Lonchura striata: one gene and its partner. The main gene of each other region encodes a partner of the protein of the gene in region 2 in a complex. Links are inferred from orthologs where the notes say so. Each region holds a gene or a part of one and is shown on either strand. Other genes may lie near its edges.

Evidence for each region.
Region 1: PIGC (region 2) and PIGY share a complex: the UniProt entries of both Homo sapiens proteins name them as parts of the glycosylphosphatidylinositol-N-acetylglucosaminyltransferase (GPI-GnT) complex. The link is inferred for Lonchura striata from reciprocal best matches to the Homo sapiens genes PIGC and PIGY.

The regions. Positions count from the first base shown.
Region 1 is NC_134606.1:58,611,649-58,621,930, forward strand, and holds PIGY (phosphatidylinositol N-acetylglucosaminyltransferase subunit Y), read left to right. Parts: upstream 1-5,042; 5' UTR 5,043-5,074; coding exon 5,075-5,305; 3' UTR 5,306-5,754; downstream 5,755-10,282. Other genes in the region: putative E3 ubiquitin-protein ligase HERC4, read right to left, coding at 370-469, 840-1,023, 2,065-2,144, 2,323-2,377, 3,396-3,568, 3,662-3,802, 7,122-7,241, 7,331-7,441 and 2 more; PYURF (protein preY, mitochondrial), read left to right, coding at 4,145-4,197, 4,536-4,784, 4,901-5,042. UniProt on the Homo sapiens protein: Part of the glycosylphosphatidylinositol-N-acetylglucosaminyltransferase (GPI-GnT) complex that catalyzes the transfer of N-acetylglucosamine from UDP-N-acetylglucosamine to phosphatidylinositol and participates in the first step of GPI biosynthesis.
Region 2 is NC_134611.1:409,667-419,792, forward strand, and holds PIGC (phosphatidylinositol N-acetylglucosaminyltransferase subunit C), read left to right. Parts: upstream 1-6,032; 5' UTR 6,033-6,044; coding exon 6,045-6,923; 3' UTR 6,924-7,032; downstream 7,033-10,126. UniProt on the Homo sapiens protein: Part of the glycosylphosphatidylinositol-N-acetylglucosaminyltransferase (GPI-GnT) complex that catalyzes the transfer of N-acetylglucosamine from UDP-N-acetylglucosamine to phosphatidylinositol and participates in the first step of GPI biosynthesis.

The DNA.
Region 1 (10,282 bases), on a different chromosome or scaffold from region 2:
TACCTTTAAAAAGAATGACCTAGCTTCTGCAACGCTTTGAGAAGGGTAAATTGTTTACATCAACACAGTGTACTCTCACAAACTGCAGCCTCTGACCAACAAAAAAACCACAAAAGTAAGGGATAAAGTAACTGCAAATTTCAGGGTGGTCCAATGCACTGGGCAAACCTCAGGGGATGTGAGAGGGGTCTGAGTTGTCCCTGTGCAATTCCTTGTGTTATTTTTTTGTGGTTTTCTCTAGAAAATGTGGCAGCAGCAGGGGTGAACACATTGAAAAGCTACTAATTAGAACTATAGTATAGTATATACTATGTGTGTTGTGGGGGGAAGAAAAGGGCTATGCAAAGTTTAAAATGACTGATATATTACCAAGCAACATTTTCTTTTTTTCTTCTGGTAACTTGTGAAACACAGTCCAAAAATTTCTGATGGTTTGATCTAACTTTGTATACTGTCTGTATGTCACATTCTGTCAAAGAGATAAAAATAAAACAGGCCAGGTTTATATTTCAATTTTTCCATTTATATTTAAAGCAACATTTTGTCTGATACATTTTATAATCCTGTTCATAGATATTCAAATCCCCTTAACCTCTGGAATCTGCTTGTTCATTTGTTTTTCAAAGATTCATATGACAATCCCTGAGTTATGGCTTGATACCTATTCCCCTTTATTCTTGTGGCTGACATAGATTAGAGGCAGAATATAGACACTAATCAAAACAAGACAAAGTTCCTTGAGCTTCTGTCCATCTGTTATGCACTCAATGAAAGAACAGGTCAGAAGTAGTTTATGCTTATCAGACAGAACAGAAGGACACTGTGCTTGTATACAATACCTTTTCCAGCAGATGCCAGTCAAATGTTGTGCATCCCTGGAGAAGAACTTGCAGCTCTTCAGGGAAAAACATCTTCCAATTTCTAGCTGGGCAGCCTCTTAAGAACCCTTGCATAAAGTCCTCAAATGGCTTCTTTACTGATTTATTGAACATATAATTCACATACAAATCAACATATTCTTTCCTGCAACAGATACCAAACAAGCATTGGTGGTGCTTTTCTAAAAGAAGAATTACAGAGAACTTTATACTTAATTCCTTTATTCCATATGACCTGCTTTGGTGTACAGACTCAGTCTTCACTGAGATCAGTTGTCAATGGCAGTTAGTTTTTCACTGAGTAAGCTGGGAGCATCTTCAGAAATAAAAGCGAATGCTGGCCAGAATGGATTCATTTTGGTAACACTCCTTTTTCTTCATGTGAATGCTCCAATTCCTGTCAGACACCTGGTTATTATAAAAGATGGAACCTAGCAGACCTAACTCCCATTGAATGCCCAAGAATTTCCCTGAAATAGAAATAAATATTTGCATAGCTGTTAATAGTTTCACTCTTATCTCTACTTCAGATGGGGATTTGTGTAGTGACATTGTACTATATGATCAATTCAATGTAAATGCTCTACTTCAAGCTTCTTAAACAGCCCTTTCATGGATCCTTATGGGTCCTCAGGTCATCTGCATAATTCAGGACACAAAATTTATTTCTGTCCTCTGTGCAGAGATTAATATTGATACATAATAATACATAATAATACACATAATAATATTGTCATAAAGCCTTATTGATATATTTCTCCTTCTCCTTTATGTACAAGATACATTCCATACACATAACTAAGCAGGAAACATTTTGCTCTTAAAGAACCCTTACAGAGGTGTGCTGGGTTTCACAAACAAATGATTTGTTTCTGCCTGAAAATACTGTTCAAGGTTATTTTTTACATTTGTTAGGAATTTTCCTGTTAATGCCAGGTATCTGTATATGCAGATATCAGGATATCCAAGGATCACCATGTTATCCACTGCTTGCACAAACTGACAGTTTTTGCACGTGTGCAGCAAGTACAGCAGGAACTGAAAGTGTACAATCTACTGGACCAAGACTAATGGCACAAAACAGAAGTCAATATTTTCTAACAATATATGGGGATGGGTGCAGACATGTTATTTCATACATTTGTAACAAGAAAACAGGATTAAGAAATATAAAAATAAAACTGACCTGTTATCCTTAGTGACAGGAATGTTGGCACCATTTTCTTTAAGTTCAACAACATCCGTGGAATCTCCTCCTTCCATTATCTATGCAAATAAATTAAAACACTGGCTGCTCTATCTATATGTGACAGATATTTATGTGCTACACCTCTCATTCCTCCTGAAGGGCCTGACATGGCATTCACTAGTCTGAGTTTACAGACAAGTTGTGGTCTTTGCACTGGGACATGTCTTGCCTGAGTACCTACGTAGGATGTCTTACCGTGAAGTCCAAGTCCAAACTATCACTTTCATCATTCAAAATTTTCCGGAGACTCCTATCCAAACACAAAAGGGATCAAAGAGAGAAGAAATGTGAGCATTCAGCGCACTTGAAAATTCTGCTAAAAACATCTTTTGACAGGCAGTATTTAAATGCATACATGTACACAACACCTACACTTAGACATAAACATGATATATGGCACTGAAATTTCATCATGCTGCTGACATAAGCTCAGCACAAATGCCTCCAGTAAAAAATGTTCCCAGGCAAGTCCATCCCCATGCCCTGTGTGCACAACTTTACACAAAGTTCAGTGACAACTGGGTTTGGAATCATTGCTTCCAGACATTATCTAGTGAGGAATTATGTGTGCAACAGAGAGATGATCTGGGAGAATTGTTATGGGGTGCATCACCTTTCCAAGTATTGCAGGCAACCTTGTGTTCCAATTCACTGAGGAACCTCAGTGAATTTAGCACTTCAACACAGTCACTGGGTCATGGGATGGGGTTCTCATCTTCTTGGTTGCTTGTATCACTTGCCTGGAAAACTGGGCTTCAGGGGCCTCGAAGCATTATGTTGGTGGCAGCAGCACCTCTGCCCCTTATGCCTGCCTGATATCTCCTCTCCCAGTGCATGGAAACTTTGTACAAGGGTTCTCAGAATTGGCAGCACTTTGTAATACTGTACTTGTGCAAGGCAATATAGTGGAAATTGATAATTAGTAAATCAGGAAAAAAATCCCACCATTAATAATTGAGTCATTAGTTCTTTAAAGTCCAAACTACAGCCCTTATATATTCACAGGGTGGATTTAAACTCTGGTGGAGCAGAGATCTGACACCTTCTAAGTCACGAGGTTTGGCATTTTGTTTTGGCAATGCCAGCCTCTGAGAGCAACATCCATGCCCTGGACAAGGACCTCCTTGGAAATCTGACCAAGGACCTCCTTTGTGGCTTCTAGCAGCTTCACAAAGGCAAATGTAGATGCTGTGGGTGCCCCAAATTCAGCCTCTGGGATCTCCCAGTGCATGGTCAAGTCAAGGGACCCAGCCAAAGCTGGGTCATACCGGCCCATGGTTGGCAGCAGATCCTCAAGGTCCTCTAGGGTGGGGACCAGGTCCAGTAGCTTTTTATAGAGAGCCCTGGGGAAGGGGAAGGGCACCATGCGCAGGTTAAACAGGGCCATTCCACACAGTGTCCCAATTAAGAGGAAGGTGTCCTCATCCTCACAGCTTCGGGCCTGGTTAGGAACAAGCACAACTGGTTAGGAACAAGCCATGACTGCCTTTTCCCATAGGTGGGGCACCCATCCACCCCTGCAGGGCTGGCTTACCTCTCTGGGGAACCACACGAGGCCGGAGGCGAAGTGGCAGAAGGCACTGGTGCTGGGCTGGCAGAGGGTCCTGGCTGCAACACTGAAGAACTCCTGGGACACCGCACCTTCGTCCACCCCCATCTCACCCAAAAAAGACACCTGCAAGGCCCGAGACACCCGCAGATAGAGACATCCATGTTGGCCACAAAACCAGGTTCCTTACCTGGTATGCAACACGCCAGTAATTACACAACCGAGAGACGCTGATTATTTATCTCACAGTTGTGCCAAGCTGGGTACTCGGTAGTAATCCACAAATCAAGCACATTCCACCAGACTTTTTGAGCCATTATTTGTACACAGAAGTTCAGAGTTAGTAACTGTCCAAGTCTGTTATGCTTGGTTAGCAATTTTCAAACAAGTTCCTTAACCCCAGATAACTTCCACACATGCTCAGGGTAAGGGTCTTCAACTGGGCAGGGGTCTCACTGCCCTGTGGGCATGATTTTAACTATTACAATTAACACAGTTCAGCTACAGGCTACGTGGACCAAGTTAGCAATTCATATATGGACAAGTTAGCAATGTATATACATCAACATCTTCATTTACTGCATCTTTAAGGCTTTTCAGTTCCCGGATGTCCTTGGCTAGGGAATGCTGGCTGCTGCCTTTTCCACTGACTAGGTCTCCTTTTTTCCTGATTAAGCTTGACAGTGTCCAAAGATCACACATGGAAAGGCATCCGGCCTTAGGATAACCTTGATCCTCCGTGCCCTCGGAACGCCGCGCAGGGGCGGGCCGGGCAGAGCGCGGCGGAAGCGGCGGCCATGCTGCGGGGCCCGGCCCTGCTGCCGCTGCTGCTGCGGCGGCCGGCCCGCCCCGGCCCCAGCCCCGGCCCCGGCCCCGGCCCCGGCCCCGGCCCCGGCCCCGGCCCCGGCCCCGGCCCCGGCCCCGGCCCCGGCCCCGGCCCCGGCCCCGCGCACGGCCGGCACTGCCATAGCCAGCGGGAGCAAACCTCGGGCTCGGCCTCGGGATCCGGCCCCAACTCCGGCTCGGGCTCCGGCTCAGCGTGGCCGCAGCCCCTGGAGCCATCGCTGCTGCGCTTCCTGGTGTGCCCGCTCTCCAAGCGGCCGCTGAGGTGAGGATGGGGCGGGGGAGCCGCGCCCGAGCCCTGCGCGAACCCAGGTTAGTTAGTCCCTGCTCCTCATGTTTTCGCTTGGATGTTTCTCCCCCTCTCCTGACTTGGCTGACCAGGTACGAAGAAGCTACGAACGAGCTCATTAACGAGGAGCTGGGCATCGCGTATCCCATCATCGACGGCATCCCGAACTTGGTTCCGGAGGCGGCCAGGAGGACGAACAAGAAGCCGCCGGCCGAGGGTCCGGAGCAGCCGTGAGGAGCCGCCGTGCACGGCGCTCACCCGGCCTGATGGCCGGAGCAGGGCTGCTGCCCTCCCTGCCCACGCTGACTGTCCTCGTTCCCCTCCTGTCCCTGGCAGGCCTGTTCTACTCGGCCAGCGTGGACGAAAACTTCCCCCAGGGCTGCACCAGCACAACCAGCCTGTGTTTCTACAGTCTCCTCCTTCCTGTTACAGTACCAGTTTATGTGTTCTTTCACCTCTGGACCTGGATGGGGATTAAGCTTTTTAGGCACAACTAGTGCAGTGCCTTTGCTAACCCCTGGCTTCTCTAAATCAACATAATTTGTTTAATCTCATCAAGTATTGCAGTTCATTTTGAGAGTTTCCCTCTGGTACTAGGGACTGTCATAATTTTCCTGGTAGGATCTGGAACTGTAGGAAGCAGCAGCCCATTGTTAACTACTGCTAATGCACATGAAGGGTAGGAGTAATACAAAGCACTAATTCCCTCACTTTTATCCCTTCAAGAGTGCTGTGCATTTGTAGTGGGACTAATTAGAACCTTAGGTTTCATGAGGAAGAACTGTACCCTGACTGAATAAACTAGATTAAAATTAAAACATGCTATGATATGAATCTCTCTGAGAGCTTTGGGGCTTTTTAACCAGATGTGTGTACTGAAATATGTTTGTCTCACTGTCAGAAGAGCAAAAATTAAAATACATCAGGCTGGTGTTTAATAACAAGACTTGAGATGAGTCAATTGAAGACATTTCTTTCTGGGATGATACCCATGTCTGTATGTGAAGTACATGCAGATCTTTTCTTTCTAGGGCCACGATGAGAATGCCACATGCCAAGTTCTTAACAGCACACAGCTATGAAGGGAGCAGGCCAGTGCTACAATGAAGGTTTCTTCTTTATGTTTTGCTTTTGGGTAGTTTGTATCTGCAATGCAAAACATATTAATGTCCTTTGAAACATGAAATTGCTGAAAAATTAAGAAATGAGGCACCAAGTTGTAAATGCTGCACCAGGCTGTAAATGCTGTGGGACACTTAACAGTGCAGTTACATTTTTCAGGCTGCTGCTGAATAATATTGTGATGCACAGTGTGAAAGGCAGTGCTCAGGAGGTGTGCCCAAAGGCTGACTTGAGCTAAGGGCAGCTGGTTGTCAGAGCTTGTACAATAGGTGGAGACTTGAAATATAGAGGACAGTACAGAGCACACCCTCACTGCCTCTCTAAATAAATGCCTCTCTCAAATAGTGAGGAGCCAGGAAGGAAAGGTAGCTCTGGGAGTCTTTGTGAATTTTGTCCAAAGTAAATGGGAAAGAAAAGCCTTGACAACTCTGGTTGGCAAGAAAGCTCACTTGGAAAGCACCATGGCACCAAGGTCCGTGGTTCCTGTGGCACAAGCGTGGTGCCAGAATTTGTGTTAGTGGCAGGTGGGGCCCGTGGTCCCTGAGCTGAGCCCTGCTCTGGGCAGATGGCTGATGTCCCATTCCCACATCAGTCAGCTAACGGCTTTTGCAGGACAGGGCCAGCATCACGATTCCTGTGGGAAACGCAACTGCCACAACCTTCGGATCAGTGTGGAAGCCACAGATTAAAGGCACATGGAGACAGCAGCATTGTAATCAGATGCTCATCTCTCTGGCAGGCACTATCCTTCCTTCCCCTTCAGACAGCATCTCCATGAGAGAAATGTAGTTTTGTGGCTGTGTTGCTTGCTGACCCCTCAGGCTGCTTCCCCAGACGCTGGGGTTTTAATGTGCTAGAAGGAAGTCTCAAAAGTCAGTCTAGCAGCAACAGTACATGACTTTGATGACTGAGCAGTTCTATTCCATTACCTCAAAGCCACTTCACAGTAAACAGCACTGCCACTTGCATTTAACTTATGCCAACAAAGCTGCCTGGAATAAGGAAATGCCGCCTCCAGATTTACCCTACACCATCTAGGGAACATGTTTTATAATAATTTGAGGAGCAGTTCTTTTGCTGGATGCTCAGAGGATACTGAATCCCTTCTGCCAATATACAGTAACACTGAAAATCAAAGAACACTGCAGCAAGATACTAAGAGCTAACAAGTAATACAATTTAGTATCTTACCTTTAACATCTTCCTGAAATCTTGGTTTGAGGCGGTTTTTAAATTTTTCCACATATCCTGGAGAAGGCAGTGTCTTCGGACGCAAAAATTCCATGCCTCAGGGATGCATATAAAGGGCATCTGAATAAAGGGTATCCAAGGATTGAAGTAACAGTCTGTTAGCAGTGTGTTTATCTCTTCTGATTGGTAACAAAATTGGCTGCACTTACAATAGGGTGCATGGTCTTGGACAGAAGAACCCTGCATTCTGTAGTATGAACGCAGATCTTCTTTTCCCTTTCGAAGATGCATGGATACTTGCTCAGCCTCTTTAGGACTGTCTGAAAGGACAAGGAAGAAAAGACATGCTGATTTTCCCTTGCAAAACCAGAGCTCAGGGACATATCTGCAGACTGAACTGTCAGTCTGTACCCTGGCAAAGTTCCGTGTCTCTGAAATGAGACTTCGAGTGCATGAACACTGCAGTAACAGAGGTTCACATCCTAAAAACGGCTCCTACACACTCCTGTGAGTGAGAAGCAGAGAGAGGCATCTAACCTCTCTGTGCAGACAGACACTTGTCTACAGTAGTGCCTCTAGAATAAAACAGAGTAATTTTAACAGTATCTTCCATAATTCAACTAAACCAAAATGTCCTGGATACTCAGGTTATGACATACTGTTTTTAAAAACTGCTGGGTTTATTATATGTAATTCCAAAACCAGATGCTGATCTAAAAAAACAATCTAATTTAAAGTGTTACACCTACAGTGTGATAAGGTACCAACTTCAGGTAACATGCTAATTGGCTTTTGATTCTATGCTGTTGCTCAAACTTCCTCCTCCACTCTGGCTAATTGGTACAAAATTGGTACATTAGCAAACAAAAGCTTTTGAAGGAATTAGCCCATTGCCCTACAAATTGCATAAAAGCTTACTTTTTTTTTTTTTGCCAAAGGAAACTCCTACTATGCACATTTCCATTTCATGCTGCTTCCTCTGACACTGACTGCATTTGGTAGCTAATTTTCACTCTGTGTCAAGAAATGCCACAGATTATTTTTTATTACCACAGCTTTGTTTTAAGATGTAAATACATTGAAATGCTCAATAGGATTTCTAAATAAAAGTTTAAAGACACCTCAAAATACTTCTCTTAATTAAACATAATAAAATCCAGAGAAACACAAAAGTATAGAAACAATCTCTCGTGCTGTTATTTCACAATGATTATTAGTTCAAAGCAAACAGAGCTGTTTTAAGATGCTGGAGGGCAGCTCCAACTCTCAGAACCAGAGATGGGATCATCTCAGGAAAGATAGCTGCTGGATAACTGTAGCTGCTGGAACACTGGGATGGTAAAGAGCTTGCATAATTTAGAGCTTTGGAGGACTAGGGAAAATGAGGTGCCTTTGAAATGCGCTGGGTTAGTCTCTAGAGTTTGCTTCTATGTATATATATAGATGTAGGTATATATATAGATATATATAAACTATTTAAATTTAAAAAATAGTGTTCTGCACTGCTGGAAAGATTTATACTTACTACTGTATAGAAGCGTGAACATATGTCAATAATCCCTCCCACTTCATGTACATGGAAGTTCCTTTCACATACTCTGAAACCAGTTTTGGAGTTCACCTGCATTGAAACACACAATATATCAACAGCAGAACTAGTGAGCTGTGTCTGTCTGGCAGGACAGGACTGACAGAGCTTTCTTCAGAAAGGGTTCTGAGACCCTGCACAGAAGTTATGGGATAAAAGTGCTCAAGAAGCACAGTGCTCCACAGTGGGAAGTCTTAGAAAGCCATGTATAAACTAGAAGGAAAGCAATTTTCATCTACAATTAAGATCCCTTAACAGGACTCCATCAGAAAAAGTGTATTTCCCTTGGAGTGTCTTTCATGTTTCCACAATTCTCTATTCATGTTCCTCATTGTTGTCTGGAAAAGATATTTGCAGGGGGATAGTGAAGATTTAAAGCTCCAAATCATGTAATCACAGAGGAATAGGCCTGCTGCAATTTTTAGTTTATTTATCTGCATAAATACAAATTTGAGAGTCTAAACTTTGTGGCCCAATTCTGCATTCTCGGCCAAAACGATATTCAAGTCTGAACAAAATTTAACAAGTCTGATTTATACTGTGTGCTCGAGCCTTTAACTTTCATAAACTTTGAACATCTCCACAGGAGAAAGTATGGTTGTCCAGAAGAACACAGTTATTGCTTCCTTTGTTTCCCTTGTTCATGTACAGCTAAAGAGGTTCTAATGCTGTTGTCCCAGAGAATTTGTCAGGTTAAGCATCACAGAGCATTACTGTGGCAGCCACAATGTGCCAAACAGATAAGAGGTCTTTTAAATGCTCTGAGCAGTTACTGGGATGAGGGATCTCACCAGCAGAAAGGGGAATGGGCATGTTACATACAGGACACTACATCCATAGCTGTGCAGGCATCAATAGATGCACTCCTGACACCACTGAAAGCATTCTTCCCGCTCTCATGGCTCTAACATGCTTTAGCTCTTCATTTCTACAGAGGCTCAGTTTGACACAACTCAAGCAGGGCTTCTTCAAAACTCTGCTGGTGTAGAGCCAAAGCAGTGTCAAACCCAGAGAATTCAATAAGTGAGAAGCATTAAAATACTGTAGGCTACACTGAGATATCCTGTCTAATTTGGATTCAAACACCTTCTCACCTGGTAAAGCATCTGCAGTATTTGCAGAGGCCCAGTTTTAACTGGGTCCAGGTTGAAGAGGCTTGGCCCTATCATCATGATCTCCTGGACAACTGAGAGCAGAATTTTCTGGGAAACCCTCTGATACAGAATGACCAGCTTCTTGAAAAAGGATGTCTCTAGATTTGACCATAGGCATTCTGTAAAGAAAATAGTGAGGTCACAGGTAACATACAGATCACTGCAATTTGTGGGTGAAGCTGTTTTTTCTTTTTATGAAATTAATTGAAAAAAAAAAAAGTTTAAGCTTGCACTACAAAAACTATTAAACCTCAGACAGAATGTTTTAAATTCTTGTGCCTTGCTGCATAGTCCCCATGTTTCTATGTCTATCAAAAGCAATTATTTCAAGCTCTTGCATACATTACATCAGTGATAATAACTCTTTGTTCTGCAGAAGAAAATTACCAAGCATTTAAATCATTCAGTTCTACCATCAT
Region 2 (10,126 bases):
GCTCGGGAATGGATGGAAAACAGCTTCCAGGGAAAGGGATCCACCTTATCCTAGCCTGGCTGGCAGGTGTTCCAGGCACAACTTCAGCAGCAGCTGGCTGTGACAGCAGTGCAGAGCCCTGGTGCTGGAGAAGACAATGTGCTCAGCCACTGGGGAGCTTCTCCTACTGGCTGATGGGGCTGATGGAACGGGGAAAGTCCAAAGGCTGCTGCCAGCTGGGACACAGAGAATCCACATTAATTCCTGCTCTCAAGATGGAAATGTGGTGTGGGCCTGGGGGCTTGCAGTGGGGTGAACCGTGCTGGGTGCCTTGGTGCCCCTGGTGCTTCCCAACACCTGCTGTCCCCTGGGAAAAGAAAAATCAAATTTCACTGCAGAAACCGAGAAACGGCAAAACTTCACAATGAAAGTGTGAAGCTTTTTTTAGCCTTCATTTCTGGGAGGACAGCGTGGGCTGAAGCTTCCCCTTCCCTCTTCTCCCTCTGCCCTGGGGCGAGAGGAAGGGCTGGGAAAGCACCTGGTCAGCCCGGGGCCAGTTTCCTCTATGGTCCTGTGCAAATCAAGGCCGCAGTGGGGGATGTCACTAGTGCCTGGTCCGGGGCAGGGCATCCGTGGCTTTCTCAGCACAAACCCAAAGCTGAGACCCATCCCCGGGCTGGAGGGTGCACAGAGCCCTGGGCAGCAGTGCCAGAACATGGGAGGGTGGCACAGCCCACACAGGAGCACCAGCAGCTCTGCTGGATCCCAGCGGTGGGGATGAGGGACACAAAGGGCTGACCAGGCACACACAGGGAGCCACACAGGCTCAGCCACCTCCCTTCCCCTTTCTGCCGACTGCTGAAACAAACTGAATTCCCACCTGGCCCCATCCCCTCCCTGCCAGCTATGTACAAACAGGCAGAGGGTAGGGGAGTGGCTGGCAGCAGGAGTGTCACTCCTCAGGGACTCCTGCTCCAGGGGAGCAGAATACCGGGCAGCCCTGCCCCGTGGTTTGGGACAGGAGGAGCTGGTTTTGCAGGGAGAAGCACTGCAGGTGTGAAACACCCCTCAGCCCCACATCACTGCTCTTACCGAGCACCTGGGCTCCTGCTTGGAGCTCCAGGGGAGAGGGCAGGAAGGGCTCCTGCTGTGAGTATCTCCTGGGAAATCACTGTGTTTCCAGACTGAGGCCATGCTGTGTTTGAACAAAAGCTTCTTTATTCTTTACTAGGCAAATAGGAAGGTGAGCACAGAGCAGGATCCTCTCACAGCACACCAGGCTGAAACAGGGAGTTGCAACCTCTTTTTGACCTGTGCACAGCAATTTTTCCCCAGCTACACTTCCTAGAAAAACCAACAGTGTGTGCATACACGGTTTCCTCCAATATCCCCCTTTACAGAATGAAAATGTCTCCATGGCAGACATACAAACCTTGTTACAAACTCTGGGTCCTTCACACTTCTCCCCCTGTGTCCCAGAGCTGCAAGGGGAGGGAAGTGGCTGCTGTAGGAGGCTCAGGGCAGGCAGAGTTAGCACTGGGGAGCTGCTGTGGGGCTCCATCCCTTGGGGGGACATTGCTTTTGCCCTCTGTGCAGTTGGGTTTTCCGTGTTTTGCCACCTGCAGCTCTTGATGCCTTTCCACCAACTGTGGAAGAGCTGGGTCAGCAGTTCACATCCCATCCCTACACTACACATTTAGGGCTAAACAAGGTGGAACAGTGAGAAACCTCTTGGCAAAGCTTTGTTTTGGGGCCCCAGCCCTGCTGTGCCAGGTCTTGGAGACACCCGTGTGGACTGTAAGACCTTCCTTGTTCCCAAACCTCGGTTTCCAGCTTCCATGACAACCCATGCTCAGGTCCCAGGGGCAGTTTTATTATTTTATCCCCAGGTGTGGTTTCCTTCCTGCATCTCTGTGCTAGAGATGTGCCACATACAGCTGAAGCTTGAGCTGAGCTTACCTGAGCTGCTGAACTTTGGACTCATGCCACCCTGGAGCACCCTGCAACTGGCAGAGCACATTGCTAATGTCACCTTTGGCTGTAGTTTCCTAGAGTTTTGTTTGTTTTTTTTTTTTTCTTTTAAAGCAGATTATAAACAAAAACATCTTTACTAGGTGACAGCTTGACCCTGATGGAGTTCCCCTGCAAAACAGGTCCTGCTGTGACCTACTGCCCTGGAGCTGGCCAGGCCCTGGGCTGGGCTGGCTTGTCCCTTTTTCCAGAGCCCGGAGTGGGTGCTGGGACAGCTCCAAAGGGCTGTGGAGATCCATGCTGACCGTCAGGGAATGCCAGCAGTGAGGGAGCTCAGTTTCAAACCCTCCCCACGTGCTGTGTTCCAGAGGTCACATCCCTGCAGACACGTACCTTTCCACATGTCATCTCTCCTGCCCCACATTCTCAGCCAGACCCTCAGCCTTCCCATCCTTCTCCCCCTGCAACAGGCTCAGCAAATCCCAAACCTTGCCCAGGCAGATGCCAGTCCAGTGTGGGCTTCTCAGACCCAATCCCATTTTCCTGGACTGCTCAGCCTGGCTCTGAGCAGGGTTTCTCCAGCAGCCTTGGTACCTCCTCATCTCAGCTCAGGAAATCTGACCTGCACGGAGGAAAGGGAGAGCCTGGGAGAGCTGGAGCAGCACCAGACTCCTCCGTGTCTGGGCCCTGCAGGGCTCCCCAGGCAAGCAGCCCTGTCTGCCCCAGTATCCCCCTATGGGGCTCAGCCCAGCTGCAAGGCACTGGGCTGGTGTCGTCCCAGTCCGTGCTGGGGACTGAATCCAAACAGTCCTTAAATAGGTGACTGCAGGAGAGCAGGCATAGCCTGTGTCATGGGGCCTTTAAGGCAGGAGACATCTCTGGACATGGAAAAATGCAGCAGCTGGAGCTGCGCCAACCTCCCCCCTCCTGAACAACATTCCTGTGAGGGACGGTTTGGCTCCAGGGTCAAAGGGGAAGGCTTGGGGGATGGCTCGGCAGAGAAATGAAGCCCAAGAATCCACGGCTGTGCCGTGTCATTCCTGCGGGGTGACACGCAGGGATGCAGGGAAGAGCCCTGTCTGAGGGACAGGGAGGGGTACGGGATCCGTCCTCATCCGTGCAGCCTCAGGCCGCTCGGAGCCTTAGCAGAGTGTGCTGCTCAGTTACTGTGAGGCCTGTCCCTGCAGCACAAGTGATGGGCCCGTCCCGGGGGAATCAGACACACCTGGAGGCAACCCTGAGCCAGCGGTGGGGATGCAGTGCCTGCCATACTTTGGTATTCAAATAGCTCCAGTGGAAGTCCAGAGCAATCCCAGCTATTTCAGTTCCAGCCTGTCACCTTTTCCAGCCTTCCCTCCAAACAACTTCAGCAGTGTATCCCAACATTCAGAGGTGGCAGACACTGAACAAACCTGTAGTGGGGTCCCTTTGCAGGAGGCAGGGCAGAGCCAAGCCTCAGCATACACGGAGTTTGTAGGGCCATGGCACCCAGCTCCTCATCGCTGCATTTCAGCAGAGGAGCTCCAAACACTCCAAGCCACCCCACAGCCTCTCCAAAGGCCAGTGGCACTTGGAGACTTGTGAGGTGAGGGAGGTCTTGTGGCACAGAACCCGGAGTGGGAATTTAGATGTTCACAAAGGACTTTTGTATTCTTGACCTTAGCTGTTGCTTATCCCTTCCAGGAGAGCTCCCAGGAGGGGTGAGAGATGACTCCATGGCACAAGGTCCCCTCTGAGCAGCAGGGCTGGCTGGTGACAGTGACGTGGCAGGTCCTGTGGTGAGGGACAGCTGTGCAGGCAGGAGTCGCTGCCCTGCAGCAAAGTCTGGGCCACCTGGGCAGGGCTGAGCTGCCCTTTGCACCGTGGCCGGTTCCATCACACGTGGCAGTCACACGCTGTCCCCTCCCAGGGACAGTGCCAGCACAGCAGTCTGCTTCGTCCCAGACCCTGCTGGGGTCTCCCAGGCACCGGGTGGGTGCCCGGCCCTGTGGGCCTCGGCACTGGCTGGCATTGCCAGGGGGGCAGAGCCAACGGCAGAGATCCCCTTGTCTGGCTGGGCACCCGTGTGGGGCTCCAGCCGCCGTGCTGGATCTGCCAGAGGGGTTTGGCTTTGCTGGCATCACCAGCGTGGCTCAGGAGCGCTGTGAGTCACTGACCTGCCCCAGCCTCCCGCCTCTCCCTGCCTCCAAAGGCACTTTGCTGGCCCACAGCAGAGATTTGAAAGGGTACATGAAGTACCCCTCACCTCTGTTCTCTCCGCTGAGGTTTCTACGTGAACCTGACCACGTGGAAGCAGCCTCGTGCTCCAGCCCAGCCTGCTCTTCTTGGTCCCCAAAGATCACAGATGTGCAGACAGCCCAGGGCCAGGTTACAGCAAACCTGCTGTCACCACCCACAGCGAGAGTGCAGCATTGCCGTGCCCATGCCCACGGGAGGTGGAATTCCTCGTCTGTGGTGGTCGTGGCACTTTTCAGAGCAGCAGGAATGGCACTCTGCTCTCCCAGCTTTCCTCCTGCATGCCCCAGCTTTACTCTATGACTTTGGGAGAAGGACATTTCGTTCAAAATCTCAAGTTCCCAGGCCCTGGGCACCAAGGCAATGCCAGCAATCACAGGAGCTGGCAGCACTCCCTGTTCCTGTGGGCACTGCCTTGTGCACATGGAGGCATGTGCATGCCTCTGTGCAAAGCGTGGGGCTGGGGGCTTTTAGGGAGGGCAGCTGAAACTGAGTCCAGCTCCATCCTGGCTTGGAGCCTGCTGGCATCGCCCCTTGGCATGGGCTACCTGCACAGGGTGAGCAGCTGCCTCTGCCCTGCCGAGCAAGTGCAGTGACACGGGGCTGGGAGGTGGCACTCGTGAGATGTCACTGTGGTATGGCTCAGCCTGAGGTCCCCCACAGGCACAGCAGCAGTGTGGGTGTTACCTGCTGCTCTGCACGTACCTGGATGAGGTGGGATCTGTTTGCAAAGTCTCCTGTGACAGGCCCGGGGTGAAAACAACCAACAGCTCCTCCGCCTGTTGCCGCTGGGACAGCAGGGCCATGAACGCCCTTCCCACAGCACAAACAGGGCACTGTTCAGGGCTGCTTTGCCCCGGGACGAGGCCTCTCGGCTGAGGCCAAATTAAGCAGCTCCTCAGCAGCAAGAACTTCTCAGGGGCTGGGAAGGCTCTGACCTGAGCACAAGCAAATACAGGCTTGGAGAAAAGACCTCTGGCCTCTGTGAAACCTTCCTTAATCCTCCCTGTCCTCTTGCTGCACCTGCTGAGTCCCTTTGGTGTGGACATGGGCGGCACAGGAGATGGATGGAAGTCCCTGCAGAGCTGCGCCTCTCCAGCCCTGCTTTCCTCCTCCTGCTCCTCTCTCGGGCAGGGCAGGACTGAGCTGTGAGCAGGCAGGAGCTGCAGGGAAAGGGCGCCCTGTAGCATCACACCCACATTCCTGAGCTGGCTGCTGGAGCCTGGTTTGGCCAGAAAAGCAGGTGCCTCTCTGGACCGGGACACGGAGTGGGGCTTGCAGCGCGGGCTGAGGTCACGCTCCCAGCAGCACCGGGATATGCAAGCACAGAGAGGCTCTGGCTAAACCCCATCGGCCGGCTCTGCCCTTCTCGGCGGCTGCCTTTGGGCTGCAGGGAGACAGCCCTTGGGAGCAGGGCAGCAGCATCCCTCCTGCCCGCTGGGCCGCCGGCTTACGGGGCTGGGCAGAAGCGAGACAGCCCCAGCAGGCACCGGCAGCAGCTGCCAGAGGGACACGGCCTTGCGGCTCTCGGGATGGGCAGATCCCAGCACGGAGCTGCGGTGTGCCTTAACCCACCCCCAGAGGCTGCTGAAGCTCACACGGGGCGGCGGGAGAGGGCGTGACCCATCTCAGGCGTGACGGTGCCGGACCCGAGTGCCGGTCCCGTCCCGGGGCTCCGGCCCGTGTCCCGGGGCTCCGGCCCGTGTTGTCCCGGGGCTCCGGCCCGTGTTGTCCCGGGGCTCCGGCCCGTGTTGTCCCGGGGCTCCGGCCGGGAGGTGGCGCCCGCGGGCGCCCCGGCGTCCCTTGCGCCACCTCCGGCGGCGGCGGTGCCGCGGAGTCCCCCCGCCCGTGCCGGGGCCATGGAGCCGGGGCCCGGGCGGCGGTGGCAGAAGGTGCTGTACGAGCGCCAGCCTTTCCCCGATAACTACGTGGACCAGCGGTTCCTGGAGGAGCTGCGCAAGAACGTGCACGCCCGGCAGTACCGGTACCAGGCCGTGGTCTTCCAGTCGGGAGCCGTGGTGCAGCAGCTGTGCAGCGTCTGCGTCTTCGTGCTCACCTGGTGGTACATGGACGCCGGGATGCTGAGCCCGCAGGGGCTGTTCGGAGCGGCGCTGGCGTCCTCCCTGCTCGGCTATGTCCTGTTCGACGCCGTGGACGGCGGGGCCGGGCGCTGGGCGAGCGGGCGGATGCGCTGGGCTGACCTCAAGAGCACGCTGGTGTTCGCCGCCTTCACCTACGGCTTCTCGCCGGTGCTGAAGACGCTGACCGAGTCCATCAGCACGGACACCATCTACGCCATGTCAGCCCTCATGCTCCTGGGGCACCTCATCTTCTTCGACTACGGCGCCAACGCTGCCATCGTGTCCAGCACGCTGTCCCTCAACATGGCCATCTTCGCCTCGGTGTGCCTGGCCTCGCGCCTGCCTCGCTCCCTGCACGCCTTCGTCATGGTGACCTTCGCCATGCAGATCTTCGCGCTGTGGCCCATGCTGCAGAAGAAGCTGAAGGCCCGGACTCCCCGGTGCTACGTGGGGGTGACGGTGCTCTTTGCGCTGGCAGCGCTGGCGGGGCTGGCCACGGTGTCCAGCGTGGGCGCCGTGCTCTTCGCCTCCCTGCTGCTCGCCGTCTCCTGCCTCTGCCCCTACTGCCTCATCCGCCTCCAGCTGCTCAAGGACAACATCCACGGGCCGTGGGATGAAGCTGAAATCAAGGAGGACCTCTCCAGGTTCCTCATGTAGGCCTGGCCCAGGGGGACCCTCTGCTGTGAGCTGTGAAAGGTCCTGGCTGGGGGACAGCCCTGTGGGGGAGGACACCTGAGCCAATAAATCTATCACAGGGCAACAAGGACCACTCTTGTGTTCCCCTCAGGACGTGTTTCCAGCCTTGTCTTGCGTGGGTGTGGTGAAGGAAGGAGCTGAGCCCGCAGGGGAGCGGGCAGGCGGGGAGGAGTCGGCTCTGGCCCCGGGTACAGGGGATGTGTCCCACGGTGTCCTCAGCCCCAGGACCCTCAGGGGGTGCTGGGCACTGCCGCACTCCCCGGGGAGGCTGGAGGGCAGGGCTGCTGATGGAGCTGCAGGGCCGAGCACCAGGGCTCGAACGGGGGCAGAGCCATCCTCACCTGCACCGTGGCCCTTGTGGGTGCCAAAATAGCCTCACACCACCGCCAGACACCACGTTACCCTAAATCCCTTAGGAGCTGGGGGGGGGATGAGAGGGCATCACGCCTTCCTCTCCTCTCTAACCCCTTTCCGGAGGCAGATCTGGCCTCGCTGCAGGGCTAGACCCCGAGGCAGAGGGATGGAGCTCAGCACATCCCCATGGGCACACATCCACCTGCGGGGGGATGCCAGGCTGCTGGGACAGCGGCAGGGATGACAACGGGCGTGGAGCTCCCACCGACCCCGTGTGTCCGGGGTCCGTCTGTCCGGGGTCCGTCTGTCCGACAGCGCTCCCACCACAACAGAGGGCGCTCCCGGCCAACGAGTGCCGCTGGGGGCCCGGCGGGACGGGCGGCCCCGGTGCGGGACCTCCCGGCGCTTTCCGTGTCCCCGTCCCTCGGCGAGCCCGGCCCTGCTCCGGCCAGCCCGGGGAGCAGAGCCCCGCGGGATCAAGGGATGCCCACACCTGCCCCAGCCTCGCAGGGCTGCATTTGGCATCGCCCCGGTGCTCATGGAACTTCTCTTTCGGAAAAGCTGCAGGAGTGCAGCTTCTGCTCCATTTTCCCCGTCGCAGCGAGCTGGCGCTTTTCATGCGCTCCTCGGGTTTTCTCGGAAATGAGCAACCCCCGGCGGAGTCCCCAACACCTCCAGTGCTTTCTTACTGCTCTTGCCAAGTGTTAAATGTTGCTGCTGTCGCCTCGGTAACGACTACATCTCATTTTGCTTTTAATTAAAACCTGTAGAAGTTTGGAGCCCGTGCTCAGGTCTCGCAGGGAGCACAGAGTAGCCAGATGCTCAGAGTCAGTGTGACATTTTTTAGCTCTGCAGGAAGGAGACTGTTTAGTCACAGGGGGGTTTCCCAGAAAGCTGCTCGGTGACCCCGATGTCCCATCTGAGACTGGGTTAATGCCAGTGTAACGCTGCCAACCCAAAAAGATTCACAGAGCAAGGCTGGACTATAAATCAAAAATAAACCAAATCTCGTCTGCTTGGCCCCAGGCTATCACAGCAGAGGCTGCAAGAAAGCAGAGTTTCTGTAGCACCCACTCCTCCATGGGGAAATACTTCCCCACAAAGTACCTTTCCCAAATTCACACTGTCAAAAGCAGCTGTGGGTTAGGAACACTGCAAGCATTGACCACTCAAACATTTCACGTGGTGGAGATGGGCACAGGCTGCCACCTGCGTCTCAGCCAGAGCAGGACCTGTGCAGATGCAGGGACTCGGATGCAGCAGGCTCCATCCCCCAGCTCCAGGGGCTGCAGACTGTCCCACCAGCCCTGCCCGCTGCCCACAGCCCCAGACCTCTCTGCTCTGCCCCATCCTTCCCTTCATCTCCTTAGAACGAGCCATAGGATTCTAGAATTACAACAGCCTCAGTCCTTGCCCAGAGACCCACTGGGGAAAGGCTCAGCCCTCCCCTCAGCTGCCCACAAGGATGGTCTGCCCACCCTAACCTGGGAAATGAAACCAAAACCCACAGCCTGGATGCACAAAGGGCTTTGAAGGAAGGAGGAATGCATAAGAGAGCCAGGGAGACACAAAGGGCAGGCAGGGTCTCCCTAGGACTTCCCTGACCTTCTCCTGAGGACGTGTGCTCTGCAGTGCTGTTGCTATTTAAGCTGCTGTACAAATGGCCATTACTGGTGTGTCTGCATGCCTGAGGTCAGAGTACCCTCTACAGAGCAGGATTTGGCCATAACTCTACATTTACCCACTAAAGCTGGATGTCCTTTGGGCATTTGCTCCCTGAGCAAATCCCCACTGAGACCCAAGAAGTAGGTCCTTGGCTGTTCATGCAACAAACACTTTATCAACTAACCCTAAGGGGTTAAATGTTCTTTTGCATTCCAAGTTTCTTTCCTTTAAGGTTCAGTCCCTGAGATCAGTCCTTCCTGGGACTTTTGGTTTGAAGCTGGCCAAATGAGAGCAGCTGTGAAGTGGCTGGGGATCAGCCTGGCTCCTGGGGGAGCTGCTGACACGTGCCAGCTGGGATCTCCATCTCCAGCTTTGCTGCAGGGAAAAGCCAGTGTCAGCCACCCACCCCGCTGTCAGGGGCCCACGTCCCTCCCCACGTGGGGGCCTGGATCTGGGAAGCCTGTGAAGAACAAAGCTCGGCTCTTTGATCAGGAAACCCAAACAGGATTTTGGTCCTAACCCATCCACTGCCCTGTAGTGTCACTGGTGCAGCAGCCTTGTCCTTCTGCCCCTGGCCACACCACCAGGGCAGGCTGCAGACTGCACAGACAAGGTGCAACAGCTTCTTCAGAAAGCCACCCTGTGAGCTGATGTTGAACAATGTGCCAGGGCTTCCCAACACACCAGCTCCTGTGCCTTTCTACTGAATAGATTTTAGAAATGGTCCTATTTTCAACAATATTTTTTACCAAATATTTTGTAAGAAGGTAAAGATTTGTGTGGAGGATTTACCAGCATAAAATGCCCCAAGAGACCAGTATGTGCCTTCCAGCCTAATGTGTGGAGGCCAGCAGGCAGCTGGGAGCTCAGCAACAGCTCCTGGCTGGGTGCTGTGGTCAGGCCAGTGAGCTAAAATATCATCCACCTTTATCTGCTGTTGGTACCGTGTTGTAGCACAGAGAATGGATTGCAGGGAGAGCTTCCCCCAGCGCGGAACGGATTTTTGAACAACCTGGAGAAAAAGCAGCTTGTAAAGTTCAGTCTACCCCCCTTCCCTTTTACCTGAGGCATGGGCAGAACCTCCTTAAGAGCTCACCAGGTACAAACACTGCTGCTTCTGCAGTACTCCTGACAGTGCACAATTC